Linked DNA regions of Oryctolagus cuniculus. The protein of the gene in region 2 interacts with the protein of the main gene of each other region in a pairwise test. Links are inferred from orthologs where the notes say so. Each region holds a gene or a part of one and is shown on either strand. Other genes may lie near its edges.

Evidence for each region.
Region 1: the proteins of AQP2 (region 2) and ERG28 interact in binary tests that used the Homo sapiens proteins (3 or more experiments, as listed by UniProt). The link is inferred for Oryctolagus cuniculus from reciprocal best matches to the Homo sapiens genes AQP2 and ERG28.

Annotation. Positions count from the first base shown.
Region 1 is NC_091451.1:21,645,576-21,654,172, reverse strand, and holds the start of ERG28 (ergosterol biosynthetic protein 28 homolog), read left to right. Parts: upstream 1-3,295; 5' UTR 3,296-3,909; exon of another isoform or gene 3,910-4,015; intron 4,016-6,744; exon of another isoform or gene 6,745-6,748; 5' UTR 6,749-6,773; coding exon 6,774-6,906; intron 6,907-8,597. Other genes in the region: tubulin polyglutamylase TTLL5, read right to left, coding at 1,881-1,954.
Region 2 is NC_091442.1:53,292,763-53,301,314, reverse strand, and holds the start of AQP2 (aquaporin-2), read right to left. Parts: upstream 4,636-8,552; 5' UTR 4,550-4,635; coding exon 4,190-4,549; intron 1,845-4,189; coding exon 1,680-1,844; intron 1,534-1,679; coding exon 1,453-1,533; intron 904-1,452; coding exon 694-903; 3' UTR 1-693. UniProt on the Homo sapiens protein: Forms a water-specific channel that provides the plasma membranes of renal collecting duct with high permeability to water, thereby permitting water to move in the direction of an osmotic gradient. Plays an essential role in renal water homeostasis.

The DNA.
Region 1 (8,597 bases), on a different chromosome or scaffold from region 2:
GGCAAGAGGCAGTGCACTGAAAACAAAAAGTCACAAGGCAAAGGAACCAGAGGGAATTGCCCATTTAATTATCCCGAACAAGAACGACCCAAATACACTGTCAAATTTCCATTATTCTCTAAGACCTAAAAGTGATGAGAAATCTTCCCTCAAAGCTTTATGAATGCTTCAATATTTTTTCCAATTACATTAATGTAACTTTCCACCTTAATCAGTCTGCCATGAATTCACTGCTAAGCCAGTAACAATACTGCCTTCTACTTGCATGACTTCGTAATTTACAGGGTACTTTCACACATTATTCTTTGGATCTCAATCACACCACTACACAACAGCCTGCCAGACATCAGCCCTGTCTGTCAGGTCACACAGCACACAAAATCCAAAAGAACTCCCGGAGAACTAAAGATGAGTCTGAACTTTAAACCGGACTCTCTTCTGTGTCAAGCAGTAATATTAAAGGAGGTGAAATAGGAAAATGCTCCAAAATCTGGGAACGCTAAGTCTGAGCCTCAATCCACTGCTTACTCTCTATGGGTCTCTAAGACAGGATCCTGATATTTCTGAGGTGAGCTTAATAAAGTGGAAACGATAACTTCTTCAGATTAAATGAGAGGAGGAGGAAGCAGTCTGGTCTTCAGATTCAGTGAGGCCCAGGTGAGTTAAAGGCCTTGCCATGGTCTTCAGCAGTGGCGCTGATCACTGTCTCTCATTTCTCGTACGAGGGTCCAGCAATCAAACAACTCGACTCCTTCCTCAAAGTACTCAGGGAAGCAACGTGGCTTGAGGCACACAGCATAGGCTATAGAATTCTTTTTTTTTTTTTTGGCGGGGGGGGGGGGGGGACAGGCAGAATTAGACAGTGAGAGAGAGAGAGACAGAGAGAAAGGTCTTCCTTCCATTGGTTCACCCCCAAATGGCTGCTATGGCTGACAATCCAAAGCCAGGAGCCAGGTGCTTCCTCCTGGTCTCCCATGAGGGTGCAGGGACCAAGCACTTGGGCCATCCTCCACTGCCTTCCTGGGCCACAGCAGAGAGCTGGACTGGAAGAGGAACAACTGCGACAGAATCCAGCGCCCCAACTAAGACTAGAACCTGGTGTGCCGGTGCCGCAGGCAGAGGATTAACCAAGTGAGCCGCGGTGCTGGCCTAGGCTATAGGATTCTAATGCCCTGCCCAGAGACGCCCTGACAACTTACCTGCCCTCTCCACATGACCACCACTCTATCGTTATAAAGGCATTTGAGAAAATTAGCACAACATAACCAATGCCACAGTTCGGTGACCTACTTTTCTTCAATATCTAAAAAGTGTGACATCTTCAATGTTAAGAGCTCTGATCAAGAGTCCACCAAGAGCTGCCATCTGCATTTCACAACATCTATCTAGAGCTGATGTTCACTTATGAGAAATACAGCCTTGGTGCCCATATGGGAGCAGGTTCATGTGCTGGTTGCTCCTCTTCTGATCCAGCTCTCTGCTCACGGCCTGAGAAAGCAGTAGAAGGCAGCTCAAGTGCTTGGGCCCTTGCACCCACATGGGAGACCTGGAAGAAGCTCCTGGCTCCAGGCTTCAGATCAGCCTACTCTGGCCATTGCAGCCATTTAGGAGTGAACCATCGGATGGAAGACCTCTCTCTCTATCTCTCCCTCTCTCTGTAACTCTGCCTTTCAAATAACCAAATCTTAAAAAAAGAAAGAAACACAGCCTTATTATCCCATTTCTAACAGCCACTGGGAATGGACTAAAAAGGTCTGGGATAGAAGCTCAAACCAGAGTCAGACAATACCAAAGGATACCGGATAAAAGAGGATCTGAGTAAAAGAAAACTAACTCCCATTCTAAAGGCCAGAGGTCAGAGGCAGGCCCGCGGTACTTACTCCTGGCTGATCACCTCCTCATCCTCCGAGGACGATGCTGTTTCCTCCAGGTCCCGGGCCATCACGACGGGCATCTCCTTTGGGGTTTGTCATGCAGTCAGCAGACAGGGGCCTCAGAGACCTTTCCTTGCAGACTCACTGGATCAGACGATTTGGGTGGCACAGATTCCTGCAGAGAAGTGGATCGCTCTGACACACAGTGCAGCTGTGCAGTTATCAGTTACCGCTGATGATCTTCCAAACAACGAAAAGAAACCCATTCCTAAGCAGTACCCGAGCTCTAGCTTACCTTCATGGTGCCTCACACACGGCTCAAAAATCGGAAATGTTTTTCAGATATACTCTCTGGACTCTTATGTATTTGAAAAGCTCTTATTAAGTTTGAGTTTCTCATTTGTCTTTCATGTACTAAATCTAACCTTAGGGAGGTGGCTGATTCCTTGCTATGACCTCAATTAAACTTGGCCTGGGTTAAAAATAAGAACTCAAGGTTTAAGATCTTTGCAAATATTTATTCAGACTCAATGACAAGCACACACGGGAGATGGCATCATGTTTCAGTTAAGACAAATTCCACATCAGAGCCAAAAGATTAAAATGTTCTCCTGAATCAATAACGGGGGGGGGGGGGGGGGCACTGCCCTTCCAAACACTCTTAAAAATCATTCTTAAAAATCATTCTCTCTTACTGAAAATCACAAACTTGGATCTGAATCTCAAAGGCACATTACAATTACAGAATTTCCAACGCGGCAGTTCTAACTTGAAAATATATTTTTCCTTAGGGGGAAATACATTATGTCCGATATACCTGACAGGGAAGGGAATGCAAACTGTAAAATGAAAATGTGCGGATGACCGCAATCCCACTGCTCAGAGGTAGGCAACTGATGTCAATCTTTCCAAACTCTATTTTTCTGTGCATTCATGTATATAAGATTGCAAATAAAACCAACACACACACACACACACACACACACGAGCCCGCTAATGACCCCTGCAGATCTTCGGGGTAACGGGCAATCCCTAACAGCCTCGGTGGCTCCTCTGCGGGAGATGCCCAGTGGAATCTCTCCATCTTTCCCAAATGCTGGGAAGTCCCGTAAGTTACACCGAGCGAACCTCCAAGCGAGGAGGGGATGCCCACCTTCCCCGAGCTGCCTGCAGACTGGGAGCCCTCGCTCCCCGGGGATCCGGCCCTCGGCCCCACCCCCAGCGCACCCCGATCCCGAGCGGGTCGGCGGTGCGCTCCCCGGGAAGGACGGGGCGACCCCGCCGCCACCCTCCAGCCCAGCGCGCCCGGAAGCCAACAGCGGCTCCCGGGCTCTGAGGGGGAAGTGCAGCCGACCGCGGCGGCCAGGGCCGGGAGCGCACCTCCCTCCGGCAGGGAAGCGCGCCGGCGCCGGCGTTTACCTGTCTCATCTTCCCATGGCTCCGGCGCGCAAGTGGGGACCACGCTCTGCGCCTACCTCCCTCCTCCTTTCCCAGCCGGGCTCTCCGCGGCTGCCGACGGCTGCTTCCCCCGTTACTACAACAACCAACAAGCAACCGCCCGCTCGGAGCCACTGCGCAGGCGCCCGCCACCCGGCGCGGACCACGCTGGGCTGCGGCGCGGACGGATGCCGTCACCGCCCCGCGACGCGGGAGCAGAGCCGCGTGCTCGGCACAGAGCACTCTTGACTTTCTCTTTCCCGCTCAGTTCCCCCCACTCCTCCGCCCCTTAAACGATGACTCCAAACCTGGAGTTCCGCCACTATCAACAGGAGGGTTTGCTGCGTGAGCGGTGCCCCAGGGGGAGAGGCTTAGGCAGCGGCAACCGCTGATTGGCAGTAGAGGGGTTCACTCCCTATCTCCTGCTCGAGCAAAGCCGGCTCCGCCAATCAGAGCGAGGACTGACAGGAACGATCCAATCGTAGAGCCAGGCTGGGGACGGGGGCGGGGACGAGTGGCTCAGGTGGAATCCGGGCTGGAGCTGTCTTGGGGAAGCTGGTTTGCTGCTGCTGCGGCTGTGCCCGGGTCCGGCTGCCAGGTAAGGCGACGGTGGGAGAGAAGAGGGTGCAGGTGACCGTGTGACATCTGATTGGGAGGATCCGAAGAATCCGGAAAAACGGAGGTGGGACAGAAGGAAGACGCTAGTAGGCTTTCTTTTGTGGGGGAGAGGGTTCGGGAGCCGACGACGAGGGGGAACCCGGAAGATGGGGAGGGCGTGGTGGGTTCGGGGAACGAAGGGTGGGTGAGGGCATGAGCAGCCACTGAGAGCTGGTACTGTGCGAGGAGCCTTCACCGTCACCCTGAAGGTAGATGTTTGTAACCCCATTCAGCAGAGGAGGAAACTGAGTCACACAGCACCGAATGGTCGGGGCAGGATAGGAACGCCCCTGGCTGGGCTCCTGCTATCCTGGACGAGGTCGGGGGAAATTTTGGAATAGCAGCTGTATGAGGGAAATTCAAAAGGTTCATGAAAAATGAAATTAGAAGATTAATTTGGAGCAAAAATTTTTGATACTATGTTGATTTTTTAGGTTTATTTTCATTTTCTTTCAAAGGCAGACAGACAGATCTTTCATCCACTGGGTCTCTACCCCGAATGCACACAGTAGCCCAGAGGCTGGACCAAGCTGAAGCCAGGAGCCAGATCTTAATCAGAGTCTCCCACGTGGGTGGCAGGGACCCAAGTTCTAGGGCCAACTGCTGCCTCCCAGGGTGAGCGTTAGCAGGAAGCTGAGCTGGGAAGCAGAGCCTGGGCTCCAACCCAAGCCCTCCGGTGTAGGATGCAGGCACCTTACCCACTGCACCAAATGCCTGCCCTGATGCAAATATTTTTAAGCGAATCCTTTAACTCTGGTCCCACCCTCGTTTGTAAAATGGAAATACTAAATGGTATAACACATGTTGGGTGCATGGCACAAAGCCCAGTAAGGCAAGGTTCCTGCAGCCCTCACCAAGAGTGCTGCTTCCTTCTCTTAAAGTCACAGCAGGTTATTTATTTTTATCTTTTGGATTGTTCTTTTAGTTTATGGAATATGTGTGCCTAAGGAACAGGGTAGAAAAAAAGTAAGGGTGTAAATAGTGCTCTCACACCGTACGTTCCACTGCAAATCTGTACTCCATAGGTTTAGGAGGATCTGTCATCAAGAACCAGGCAGGCACCTGTGAGCCCCTGGCTTTGGAGAGCATTGACATGAAAAAGTAAAGAGAGGGGCCGGCGCTATGGCGCAGTGGGTTAACACCCTGGCCTGACACGCCCGCATCCCATAAAGGCTCCGGTTCTAGTCCCAGCTGCTCCTCTTCCAACCAGCTCTCTGCTATGGCCTGGGAAAGCAGTGGAAGGTGGCCAAGTCCTTGGGCCCCTGCACCCGCATGGGAGACCCAGAGGAAGCTCCTGGCCCCACCTTCAGATCAGCGCAGCTCCGGCTGTTGTGGCCATCTGGGGAGTCAACCATTGGATGGAAGACCTCTCTTTTGCTGCCTCTCCTCTCTCCGTGTAACTCTTTCAAATAAATAAATAAATCTTAAAAAAAAAAAAAAAAAAGTAAAGAGAGAGGAAGACTGATTGTAACCAAGAGAAAGGAATTCTGATATACGGTAGTATTTGAAGAAATTGCTTAAAGATAAGTATTGTTCCACTTATTGCAGATTATACAAATGTACTCCAAAAAGTTCATGGAAAATGGAATTAAAAGATAAATTTTGGGTTATTTTGGTGCAAGACATTTTTGAAATCCATGCTTAGCTTTATCATAATATACATTTTCATAACTTTTTGAAGAGCCCCATACTGTTCACTGACTGTTATCAGTGTAACCAAGCATTGCAGCCAATTTCTGTAAGCCTTACACCAAAATCCATTGTATTACTTTTTTTTTTTTTTTAATTTGAAAGGCAGAGTTACAGAGAGGCAGAGACAGAGAGAGAGAGGTATTGTATCCACTGGTTCACTCCCCAGATGGCTGCAACAAGCCAGAGCTATGCTGATCCAAAGCCAGGAGCCAGGAGCTTCTTCCAGGTCTCCCACGTGGGTGCAGGGGTCAAGGACATGGACATCTTCTACTGCTTTCCCAGGCCATAGCAGTGAGCTGGAGCAGAAGTGGATCAACCGGGCCTTGAACCAGCGTCCATATGGGATGCCGGCACTGCAGGCAGAGGGCTCACCTGCTACGCTACAGCACCGGCCCCTGTGTTACTTTATAGTAATACATATACAGGTCTTTACTTCTGTTGCCTTTCTTCACATTTTTCTCTCTGGGTTTGTCCCTTCCACCCACGGTCGTTGTCACCCTCAGTAAAGGTCAGCACACTGGCTTCAGGTGAATATTAAAGGCAATATGCCAACCTGGGAAGTAAGAATAATGTGTAAAAAAAAAACCGAGCGGGGTGGACGTCGGGGCGCAGATTAAGCTGTCATCTGGGACACCCCTGTCACATATCTGTGTGCCTAGGATTGAGTCCTACTTCCACTTCTGGTCTGACTTCCTGCAAATGTGAGCCCTGGGAGGCAACAGCCTCCCAGGCAAGTACTTGCTTGGGCTCGTGCCGCCCACAAGGGAGACCTGGATGGAGTTCCTGGTACCTGCCTTCTACCTGGCCCAGCTCCAGCCTGTTTGGGCTTATGGGGAGTGAACTAAGGGATGAAAGATAGCTTGCTCTTGCTCTATCACTCTGCCTTTCAAATAAGTAAAAATAAATTAATTAGACTTCAACCAAAAAAAGAAACAAAACTGGTGCATGAGCCTGGAGGATCTAGAGAGGAGCTCACGCAGTGATTGCCCAAGTTTAGTGCAGCTCTCGTGAACGGGCCGCAGGTAGCCACAGAGCAGAGATGGACTGACCTTGGCTTCTCGTGTCCCATGTCCTTGTTCCCAAGGCAGACGCCCTCTCGGGTCCGAGGGCAACATGAGCCGATTCCTGAACGTGCTGCGGAGCTGGCTGGTCATGGTGTCCATCATAGCCATGGGGAACACGCTGCAGAGCTTCCGGGACCACACGTTCCTCTATGAAAAGCTCTACACCGGCAAGCCGAACCTCGGTAAGAACCAGAGAGCCATGTCCTTCCTAGGAGCGGCCCTCGTGTGGTTCCCCATGCAGGCTTTAACCAGCACAGCCCCAAGGCACTCTGTACACCGGAACAGCCCCCAGGCACTCTGCACCTCAGTACAGCCACATGCACTCTGTACACCGGCACAGTCCCCATGTACACTGTATAGCAGCACAGCCCCCGTGCACTCTGTACCCCGGCACAGCCCCCATGCACTCTTACGCCAGCACAGCCCCCATGCACTCTGTACACCGGCACAGCCCCCGTGCACACTGTACCCCGGCACAGCCCCCGTGCACTCTGTACGCCGGCACAGCCCCCGTGCACTCTGTACGCCGGCACAGCCCCCGTGCACACTGTATAGCAGCACAGCCCCCATGAACTCTGTACGCCGGCACAGCCCCCATGCACTCTTACGCCAGCACAACCCCTGTGCACTCTGTACCCCGGCACAGCCCCCGTGCACTCTGTACGCCGGCACAGCCACATGCACTCTTACACCAGCACAGCCCCCATGCACACTGTACCCCGGCACAGCCCCCATGCACACTGTACCCCGGCACAGCCCCCGTGTACTCTGTACGCCGGCACAGCCCCCATGCACTCTTACGCCAGCACAGCCCCCATGCACTCTGTACGCCAGCACAGCCCCCGTGCACACTGTACCCCGGCACAGCCCCCGTGCACTCTGTATGCCAGCATAGCCCCCAGCAGGCTATACACTGTCACAGCCCCCATGTACTCTGTACACCGGCACAGCCCCATGTACTCTGTACACCAGCACAGTCCCCATGCACTCTGTACACCGGCACAGCCCCCGTGCACTCTGTACACCGGCTCAGCCCCCATGCACACTGTACACCGGCTCAGCCACATGCACTCTGTACACCGGCACAGCCACATGCCCTCTGTACACCGGCACAGCCCCCATGCACTCTGTACATTAGCACAGCCCCCGTGCACTCTGTACACCGGCTCAGCCCCCATGCACACTGTACACCGGCTCAGCCACATGCACTCTGTACACCGGCACAGCCACATGCCCTCTGTACACCGGCACAGCCCCCATGCACTCTGTACATTAGCACAGCCCCCGTGCACTCTCTACACAAGCACAGCCCCCATGCACTGTGTACCCCAGCACAGCCCCATGCAGGCTGTACTTCACACAACCTAGAGCACTCAAAGCACAGATACCTGTTTCATTCTCCATAATGTTAGGTACTTGACACAGTTCGTGGAAAGCCATGTTACAGAAACACTATGCATGGATTTCACCTAATTTCACCTTTTTTGCACCTAAATATATGTGTCTTTTAAGTCTAATTTTCCGTGTGTGTTTTAAAGAACCCTCACATTTACTGAACCTGGGGGAAGCTCAGGAACCCAGGCTCTGAGAATGTTCAGGGGATTGTTTGCTGCCTGATCTAGGCTTTGGCAGCCGCTGGAATGATCAGCTTCGTCAAGGACACATGACCCCTTTCCACTAGCTTCTCTGAATACCTGTTGACTCATTTCACAGTGCCCTGCGCAGGCAGTGCACACAGAAAGCATCATACAGGTAGGTGAGAGAATGGAGTTATTGGTGACTGGCCACATGTCCCACTGAAAAGCTTTTCTTCAGCACTCAGGTCACGGCACATGGGTACCTCCCAGGTGACCTGGAGAGACGTCACGGCACG
Region 2 (8,552 bases):
GAAAGACCTCCCTCTGGGTAGCAGGGAAATCCATGGCCGCTCCGAGGCCTGTTTTCTGCTTGACACCTCTCTGCCTCCATCCAGTGTCCTTGCTAGTCTTGGTGGTGGTGTGGTGGAGGGGTGTTGGCCCAGGGCTGCAGCTTGGGGAACTTTTTGATGCGGGCAGGGTAGGAGTTGGAAGCAGACCCCTCTCCAGGTCTGAGGGCTGCATGGCGCAGAGCACCCCCCCAACTCCCGCAGAGGGAGTGGATTTATTGCAGGTGTATGTTGAGGGGCAGGGAAACAGAAGGGTGAGTGAGAAGTCTGCTAGTGACACCTGCTTGAGGTCGGAGGCGTGGGGGAGAACACGCAGACACGTGCACACACACACATGTGCACACCAGCAAAATCCAGCGCCCCTCCCTCCCACGGGGGGGTTCTGTGTATTCCTCGCCAGCGCCTGGGTGCAGGCCTGCCTACCTTCCCTCTGTCTCTCCCTAGCTCAGCCCCCTGTCCTCCGCCAGCAGTCAAGGGTAGCCAATGGGCCGCCCCAGCCTCAGGGCAGGGGCTCTGCGGGAGTGTGGGGGGGGGGCTCCCCGCTACCCTTGAGACCCTGAGACCCCCGAGGCCAGGGCTGTGGCGCATGTTGCAAGCGACTGCTCTGCGCTGGGGTCAACTTCGGACTGGGAGGGCTGGGCTGGCGGAGGGGCGCGCTCAGGCCTTGCTGCCCCGCGGCGGGCTCTGCGGCGAGTGCAGCTCCACCGACTGCCGCCGCCGCACCTCGCGCTCCTCCCAGTCGGCGTCCGGCTCCAGCCCCTTGAGCACCGCCAGACGCTCCGACAGGCTCTTGGCTGAGGGGAAGAGTACGTAGTTGTAGATCAGCGAGCCCAGGATGGCGCCAACCAGGGGTCCGACCCAGAAGACCTGCGGGCGAGCAGAGAGGGGACTGGCAGCGCGCGGGGAGCAAAGGGGACCCCCTCCCGCCGCCCCGCCTGCCGCCGCCGCCACGCACCGGGTGGTGAGGGTGCGGGGTCCTGGATGCGCTGCCTGCGTCGAACTGTGATGCCAGCCCTTTACTTGGCCTCTCTGAGCCTGTTTGCTTTCACTGAAACAGTGCCTGCCTCCTAGGATGGTCGTGAAATGGCTCAACAGCAGCAAAGTGCTTAGAAGAAGGCGCCGCACAAGCTCAGAACCGCGTGCGTGCTCATCAGTCTAAGAGCCGCTGTCTGCTGAGCTCCTGGCGCCGGGCACCCTGTTACCCAGGCAGCCTAACTCAATTTCCCCAAGAGCTGGTGAGGTGCCCACTTGTCACGCTGTGGAAACGGCGTCTGAAAGGCCGACCCCAGGAGGAGGAGGAGGAGGAGGGTTGGGGCACTGCAGCAGCTGAACCCCTCCCCCCACCCCTTCCAGCCCTTATTCCCCTCTGAAATGGGTTTCTGGGGAAGGGGCAAGGGAGGTGGTTTCTGGCATTACCCAGTGGTCATCAAACTTGCCGGTGATGACAGCGGGGGCCAGGGAGCGGGCAGGGTTCATGGAGCAGCCGGTGTAGTAGATCTGTCATGGGAAGAGGGGGTGTCAAGGAGAGTGAGGTGAGATGGGCCCAGGGGGGTGCCTCCCTTTCCAAAGTCTTTAGGGTATATGGGAGTCAAGCCCTCCAGGCCATCTGTCCCTCTGGGGTTCTGTGTAGGGCTGTGACCTACCCCGAGGAGGTGGCCCAGGGTCACCGAGAGGCCAATGGAAAGGGCAGGGGTGCCCACGTTGTCGCTGCGGCGATCGTCGGTGGAGGCAAAGATGCAGAGCACCAGCTGCAGCGTCAGGAAGAGCTCCACGGTCACAGCCTGCCCAGCTGTGGCATTGTTGCTGAGCTGGGGACAGAGGGGGGGGCAGGCTGAGCACGCTCCCCCTCCACCTCTCGCCCCCACCTTGCTGCCCACCTGCAGCAGAGGCTCCAGGGAGGCCTCTGGGCTGGGAGCCAGAACACCTGGGCTGGCCTCCCGATGCCTTCTTCCTGGGCCCCTGCCTTTGGTGAGACGCCAGGGCTGCCTGTGGTCCCCAGGCCAGAGGTGGGAAAACTGACTGCCCGGCCCCTTAGGTCTGGGCGCGGACCCTGTGCCTGCGTCTGCAGCATGAGCGCAGAAGCGTGCTCAGATGTGGTTTTGCTTTCTGAAGAACAAGAAGGGAAGAGGTTTCCATGGCTGCAGGGGGCTTTGGACAGGGACAGGAGGGCCCTCCTTGCTCCCTAGTTGGAAGACACTGGGGCAGCCAGAGGCCTGGAGTCTTTTTTTTTTTCCTGTGGCCAAAGGGCTCCCAGGAAGGCGGTCCAGGAACTTGGGAACACTCCTCACCATGGCACTGTCCCCTAATCTTCACCTGCTGCACCCTGTGGGCTTGGTCCTGTGCAGGTCAGGGTGAGGCCACTGGAGCTGTCTATCGCGGTGTTGGTGCACCACGTAGGGGGGCCCGCAGTCCCAGCAGACCCCGCTGTGGGTAAGGTGAGAACTTGCGGCTGAGCGAAGGGAGGCAGTTTCACAACCCAGCCACACCCTTCACAGGATTTCTCCCGGGTTCTCCTCCTGGCCTCTGCGCCTTGCCCTCAGGGGCTAGGCCCTGTGTGAGGGGAGCTGCATGGCTCTCAGCTCCCACGTTCCTTCCCCTGGCCCGAGCCCCTCCCCCCCAACACCCAGGTCCTCATGGGCAGGCTGGTTCTATAGCCTCAAGCTTCCTGCTGATATCCACCGTCACAGCCTCTAGGGGACAGAGAGAAGAGCTTTGGAGGCCTCTGGTCCATCTAGTTATGTTGGGGACAATGAAGCAGATTTGGGAGGCCTCTGAGGACTGGCAGTGACAAGGGCAGCGCCCTAGCTGTCCTGCTGCTGGCAGGTGGCGGCTCTGCGGGAGACAGCCTGGACATGGCTATGGGGTCAGACAACTCTGGGTCCATCGCCGGTTGCTGCCACCTGCCACAGCGGTCCTGTCATTTGGGCCGTTTGAATGCTGAGCCTCTGTCACGTGGGGAGACCACAGAATTTACCTTACGGTGTTGGACGAGGCTGAGACGGCACAGGGCAGATGCACATCAATAGCAACTTCCTGGTGGCCAGGCTGCCTCTCCCAGAGGACAACAGGGACAGGCTGAGGGCGAGTCAGCCCCACCGCTGCCCCCCAGCGGGTTCTCCTGGGGGTGGGCCCACTGAGGAATAGCTGGCAGGAGAGCCTCCCAGACCTTCCCTGCTGAGGCCCCCACTCAGCTGCAGAGAGAGGAGCAGGGCTGGGGGCTCCAGGGCGCCCCTGCAGAGAGGGGCTTGCTGGGGTGTTGCTCTCAGGAAGCCCCTCTTTCTGTCCCACTGGGGCTCCGCTTGCTGCTAATGGCGCTAACTTCGCACTCAGTGGAAATCGGCACCTGCTCGGTCGGCCAGCTGCCTTGGCTGCTCTGGTGTTTTCTAAGCCCTGGATCCCCAGCCTCACCATACTTCCCACTCTGAAGGGGAGAGAAACCCCCGGGGTGCAGAAAGACCACTTGTGCAGGGCAGGGCGTGGCCATGGAGGCTGGGCTGTTTGCTAGAAGCCCAGGGATGCAGCCAGCGAAGAAATGCGGGGAACTGAGGCACAGAAGAGGTGATTGCTGTTCTGGCTTGGGGCAGGGGTGCAGAGGGCATATTGCATGGAGGGGAGCGCATTCAGCCCTCCCCACCCATACCTCGCAGATTGGGGGCGGGGGAGTGAACCGCGCTACCCTCAGCTTCCTAAGAGCCCAGGCTGCCCACAGCCTCAGCAGCTGCCTCCCACAAACTTCTCCAGCATCCAGAGGGAGAGACCCTACCCCTGAAGCGTTCCTGCACCTGCTAGAAGCTGAAAGAGCGTTCCATCTCTCCCCTCTGGGGAAGACTGCACGGCTGCTGTGCTCTGGGGACCCTGCCCCTGCTGAGCCCCAGCCCACGTGGGCATGGAGTCCAGCAGAACCCTCGACGCTGCTCTTCCTCCGCGGGCCCCCGGACAGAAGGTACCAGCAGCCCTGTTTTCTCCGCCGTTTCTGCTCTCACACAATTGCCCCTTCTGCTGGGCTCCTGTCTAGAGCCTCATCTTGGTCTCTGTCTCTGTCTCTGTCTCTCTCTCTCTCTCTCCACCCAGAGCCACCTGCATCTCATCATTCGCCAGGGGTGGCCCAAGGTCCACCCGCCGTGGACGAGGGCGAGGGTCCAGCTGTACTCACGGCATTGACAGCCAGGTCGCCACGGACCTCGGCCGGCGTGATCTCGTGGAGCAGAGCGGCCCCGGCCACGGCCCCCAGCAGCTGGGCAGCCACGTAGAAGGCAGCTCGGAGGAAGGAGACGTGGCAGCCCACCAGGCAGGCCACGGTCACGGCAGGGTTGATGTGGGCCCCGCTGACGTGGCCCAGAGCCTGCACCAGGGTGCCGATGCCCAGGCCAAAAGCCATGGCGATCTGCAATGTGGAAGGCAGCGCCGATGGCCAGTTGAGGGCTGAGCCCAGGCCGAAGAAGACAAAGAGGAGCGTGGCCAGGAACTCGGCAAACACCGCCCTGGAGAAGGCGATGGACCGAAGCTCCCACATGCTGCGGGCCCTCCACGGGTCTCCCGCCTCTGCTCCCTCTCGCTCGCTCCCTCTCGCTCGCTCCCTCTCGCTCGTTCGGGGCCTCGGGGGAGGCTGGGCCTATATAGAGTCCCTCGGCCCAGGCCTGGGCACGTGCGATGGAGGCGGAGTTTAGGCCAGCGCCTCCACTGTCCCTGCCACCCCTGCCCCACTCCCACCCCTGCCCACTGCACGCCTATCACCCCATCTTGGCCTTCACAGCTGACTAAAGTTCCCCATTAATGAACTCCAGATAAGGCTTGACGTCCCCTGATTTTCCGTGTTTGTTCCCTCAGTTACCCCAGGCCTGTCGCCGTGGGGCCTCCCCTCCCCCACGCCAAGCTGCGGATGGGAACCCCCGAAGGGGAGGTGGCTGGGGGGAGGACCCCTCTTTCTAACTCAAAGTGGTGGCTAAGGTGCAGGGCACCCCCCAACACACCCACCCCAAATTATGCGCGAGAAATGCCAGAGTCGCCCGTCTTGGGGGTGGATGCCCACCCTCCCCCCACCCTTCTGGAAGGAGATGGAAAACAACTGGTCGGCTTGGGCCAAATTTCCAAGGCAAAAATGCTTGGTGTCTGTTCTGTGCCTGCTTGCTTGTAGTTAATCGCCCGTAAGCCATTAAGCTCTCCCTCCTCCTGGAAGCCCATTCAAGGAGCAGCTCCGGCAGCCTGGAGCCAGCGGTGGCTTCGGGGGGCCTTGGGGACCCTGGCCCTGGCTGAAAGAGTCAGCGGAGGAGTGGGGGGGGGTCAGCTCAGAGCTTCTGTCCCAGCACCACCTTGCTCCGTCTCTGGACTTTGTAAAATGGAGGTGACGCCTGCCTTGGGGCCTTGGGACTCGGCGACATGAAATCCCCTATGACACGAGCACAGAGTGGCTGCGCCTGGCCACGGGTGGAGGCCAAACCCTTGTAGCAGTCGCTCAGAGTGCTGCTTACGTTCTTACGTGTTGGGTTCCCCAGACTCACATATCTGGGGCGGGGGGAGGGTGTCCCAGGAGCACTGGGGGCATCCCCCAGCCCCCAGAGCCACCCATGTCGCCGGAGGAAGACATTTCTCTGGGGTAGTGAGCTGTGGCGATCCAGGGAGGCCAGGCCGCCCAATAGGCAGCTCTCTGGCATGGGTGCCCACCCCTCCCAGGGATACCGCCTCGTACTGGGGGCCCTGCACACCACCAGGGCCTTGGAGGCCCCTCTTCCCTAATCCTTCCAGGCTCGTTCCCTCTCCTGGGGATCCAGAGGCAGCAGTGGGCTTGGGGTGGGATCCGGACAGGCTCTGGATAGTGCTGTAGCTCCTGGCCTATGCACCTCTTTACGAAGTAGAATACCTTGTCTTGTGTCCCAGCCTGAGGCCTGAGGAGTGTGAGTGACTTGGGGACGGTGGTCCAGCAAGTTAGAGGCTGAACTGGAACTGGAACTGGGTCTCGAGAGTTTCCACCACACCCTTGGACTGCTGAATCACACTCAGCCTCAGTCTTCCTATCTGGACAATGGGACTAAAGATGCCTTTCCCACAGAGTTGTTTCTGAGAATGCAAGATGCGAGCATGCACACGTGAACTTGTAACTTCTTTCCAGGAGGAAGAGGAGGAGGAGGGTGAGGAAGAAGAAAACGAGGCCCAACCGAAGGAGAGTCCTGAAAGGGCAGGAGCTCTTGTGGGCGTGTTCTCGGCTGTGTTTCCAGTACCTGAAACAGCAGTGCCACATGGGGACCTGGCCCTGGTCCCAGAGGCTCGGGGAGAGAGACTCAGAACAAGTGTGTGTGTGTGCAGCTGGGGGGCAAAATCCTGTCATGTGAAAGGCATCCGAGGGTCTGGCGCTGTGGTGTAGCGGGTAAAGCCGCCGCCTGCAGTCCTGGCATCCCATATGGGCACTGGTTCAAGTCCTGGCTGCTCCACTTCTAATCCAGCTCTCTGCTATGGCCTGGGAAAGCAGTGGAAGATGGCCCAAGTCCTTGGGCCCCTGAACCCATGTGGGAGACCTGGAGGAAGCTCCTGGCTCCTGGCTCCGGATCGGTGCAGCTCCAGCCATTGTAGCTATTTCGGGAGTGAACCAGCAGATGGAAGACCTCTCTCCCTCTCTCCCTCTCTGTGTCTCCCTCTCTCCCTCTCTCCCTCTCTGTGTCTCCCTCTCTGTAACTCTGCCTTTCAAGTAAATAAATCATTTTAAAAATGCTTTCTTGAAGTTGGAGGCAGAGTCATGTGGATGCACTGAGTTCCATTGAACCATACATTCAAAAATGGTTATGGGAGTGGGGAATAGGGTGCTGTGGCTTAGTAGGCTAAGCCTCTGCCTGCGGTGCTGGCATCCCATATGGGTGCCTGTTCATGTCCCAGATGCTCCTCTTCCAGTCCAGCTCTCTGCTATGGCCTGGGAAAGCAGTAGAAGATGGCCCAGGTGTTTGGGCCCCTGCACCCACATCCACATGAGGGATCCAGAAGAGGCTCATGGCTCCTGGCTTCGGATTGGCTCAGCTCTGGCTGGTGCGGCCACTTGGGAAGTGAACCAGCAGAGGGAAGATCTTTCTGTTTCTCCCTCTCTCTGTCTATAGCTCTGCCTCTCAAATAAATAAATAAATAAAATCTTTTAAAAAATGGTTACAGGGGAGGGGAGTGGCATCGTGGTGCAGCAGATTAAACCGCTGCCTGTGACTGTAACATCCTATATGGGAGCACAGGTTTGAGTCCCAGCTGCTCCACTTCTGATGCAGCTTCCTGCTGATATGCCCAGGAAAGCAGTGGAGGATGGCTCAAGCATTTGGGCCCTTCCTATTTTCAATATGTCTTTCAAATAAATAAAATAAATTTAAAAAACCAGTTACAGGGTACAGGTTTGGCCTGGCAGTTAAGATACTGGTTAAGATGCTCGTGTCCCACTTGGATTCGTTTGCCAGCTCTGACTGCTGACTCTGGCTTCCTGCTCAAGCAGCCGGTCCCTGCTCCCCACATGGGAGACATGGATGGGGTTCCTGGCTCCTGGCTGCAGCCCAGCCCAGCTCTGGTCATATCTGGGGAGTGAACGAGCAGATTGCAACTTTCTCTTTGTCTCTCTCTGTCTCTGAGTGTCGCTCTGCTTCTCATACAAATGAATTTAAAAAAAATTAAAGTGGGGCCGGCGCCACGGCACACCGGGTTCTAGTCCCGGTTGGGGCGCCGGATTCTGTCCCGGTTGCCCCTCTTCCAGGCCAGCTCTCTGCTGTGGCCAGGGAGTGCAGTGGAGGATGGCCCAGGTGCTTGGGCCCTGCACCCCATGGGAGACCAGGAAAAGCACCTGGCTCCTGGCTCCTGCCATCGGATCAGCGCGGTGCGCCGGCCACAGTGCGCTGGCTGCGGCGGCCATTGGAGGGTGAACCAACAGCAAAGGAAGACCTTTCTCTCTGTCTCTCTCTCTCACTGTCCACTCTGCCTGTCAAAAAAAAAAAAATTAAAGTGGTTAAGATGGCATGTTTTATGGTGTGTGTATTTTACCATAATTAAAATATGTAATGTTTTAAAAATTAAGAAAAGGAAAAGGGAAACAGCATAGGTGTGTGGCAGGTAAAGCTGTCACCTGTGACCCTGGCATCCCATATGAGTGCCGGTTCACGTCCCAGCTGCTCCACTTCCTATCCAGCTCCCTGATAATGGCCTGGGAAAAGCAGCAGAAGATGACCCAATGGGGGCTGGAGCTGTGGTGTAGCAGGTAAAGCCGGCGCCTGCAGTGCCGGCATCCCATGTGGATGCCGGTTCGAGTCCCGGCTGCTCCACTTCTGATCCAGCTCTCTGCTATGGCCTGGGAAAGCAGTGGAAGATGGCCCAAGTCCTTGGGCCTCTGCCCCAGTGTGGAAGACCCAGAAGAAGCTCCTGGCTCTTGGCTTCGGGTCAACTCAGCTCCGGCCATTGCGGCTATTTGGGGAGTGAACCAGCGGATGGAAGACCTCTCTCTCTCTCTCTCTGCTTCTCTCTGTCTGTAACTCTGCCTTTCAAATAAATAAATCTTTAAAAAAAAT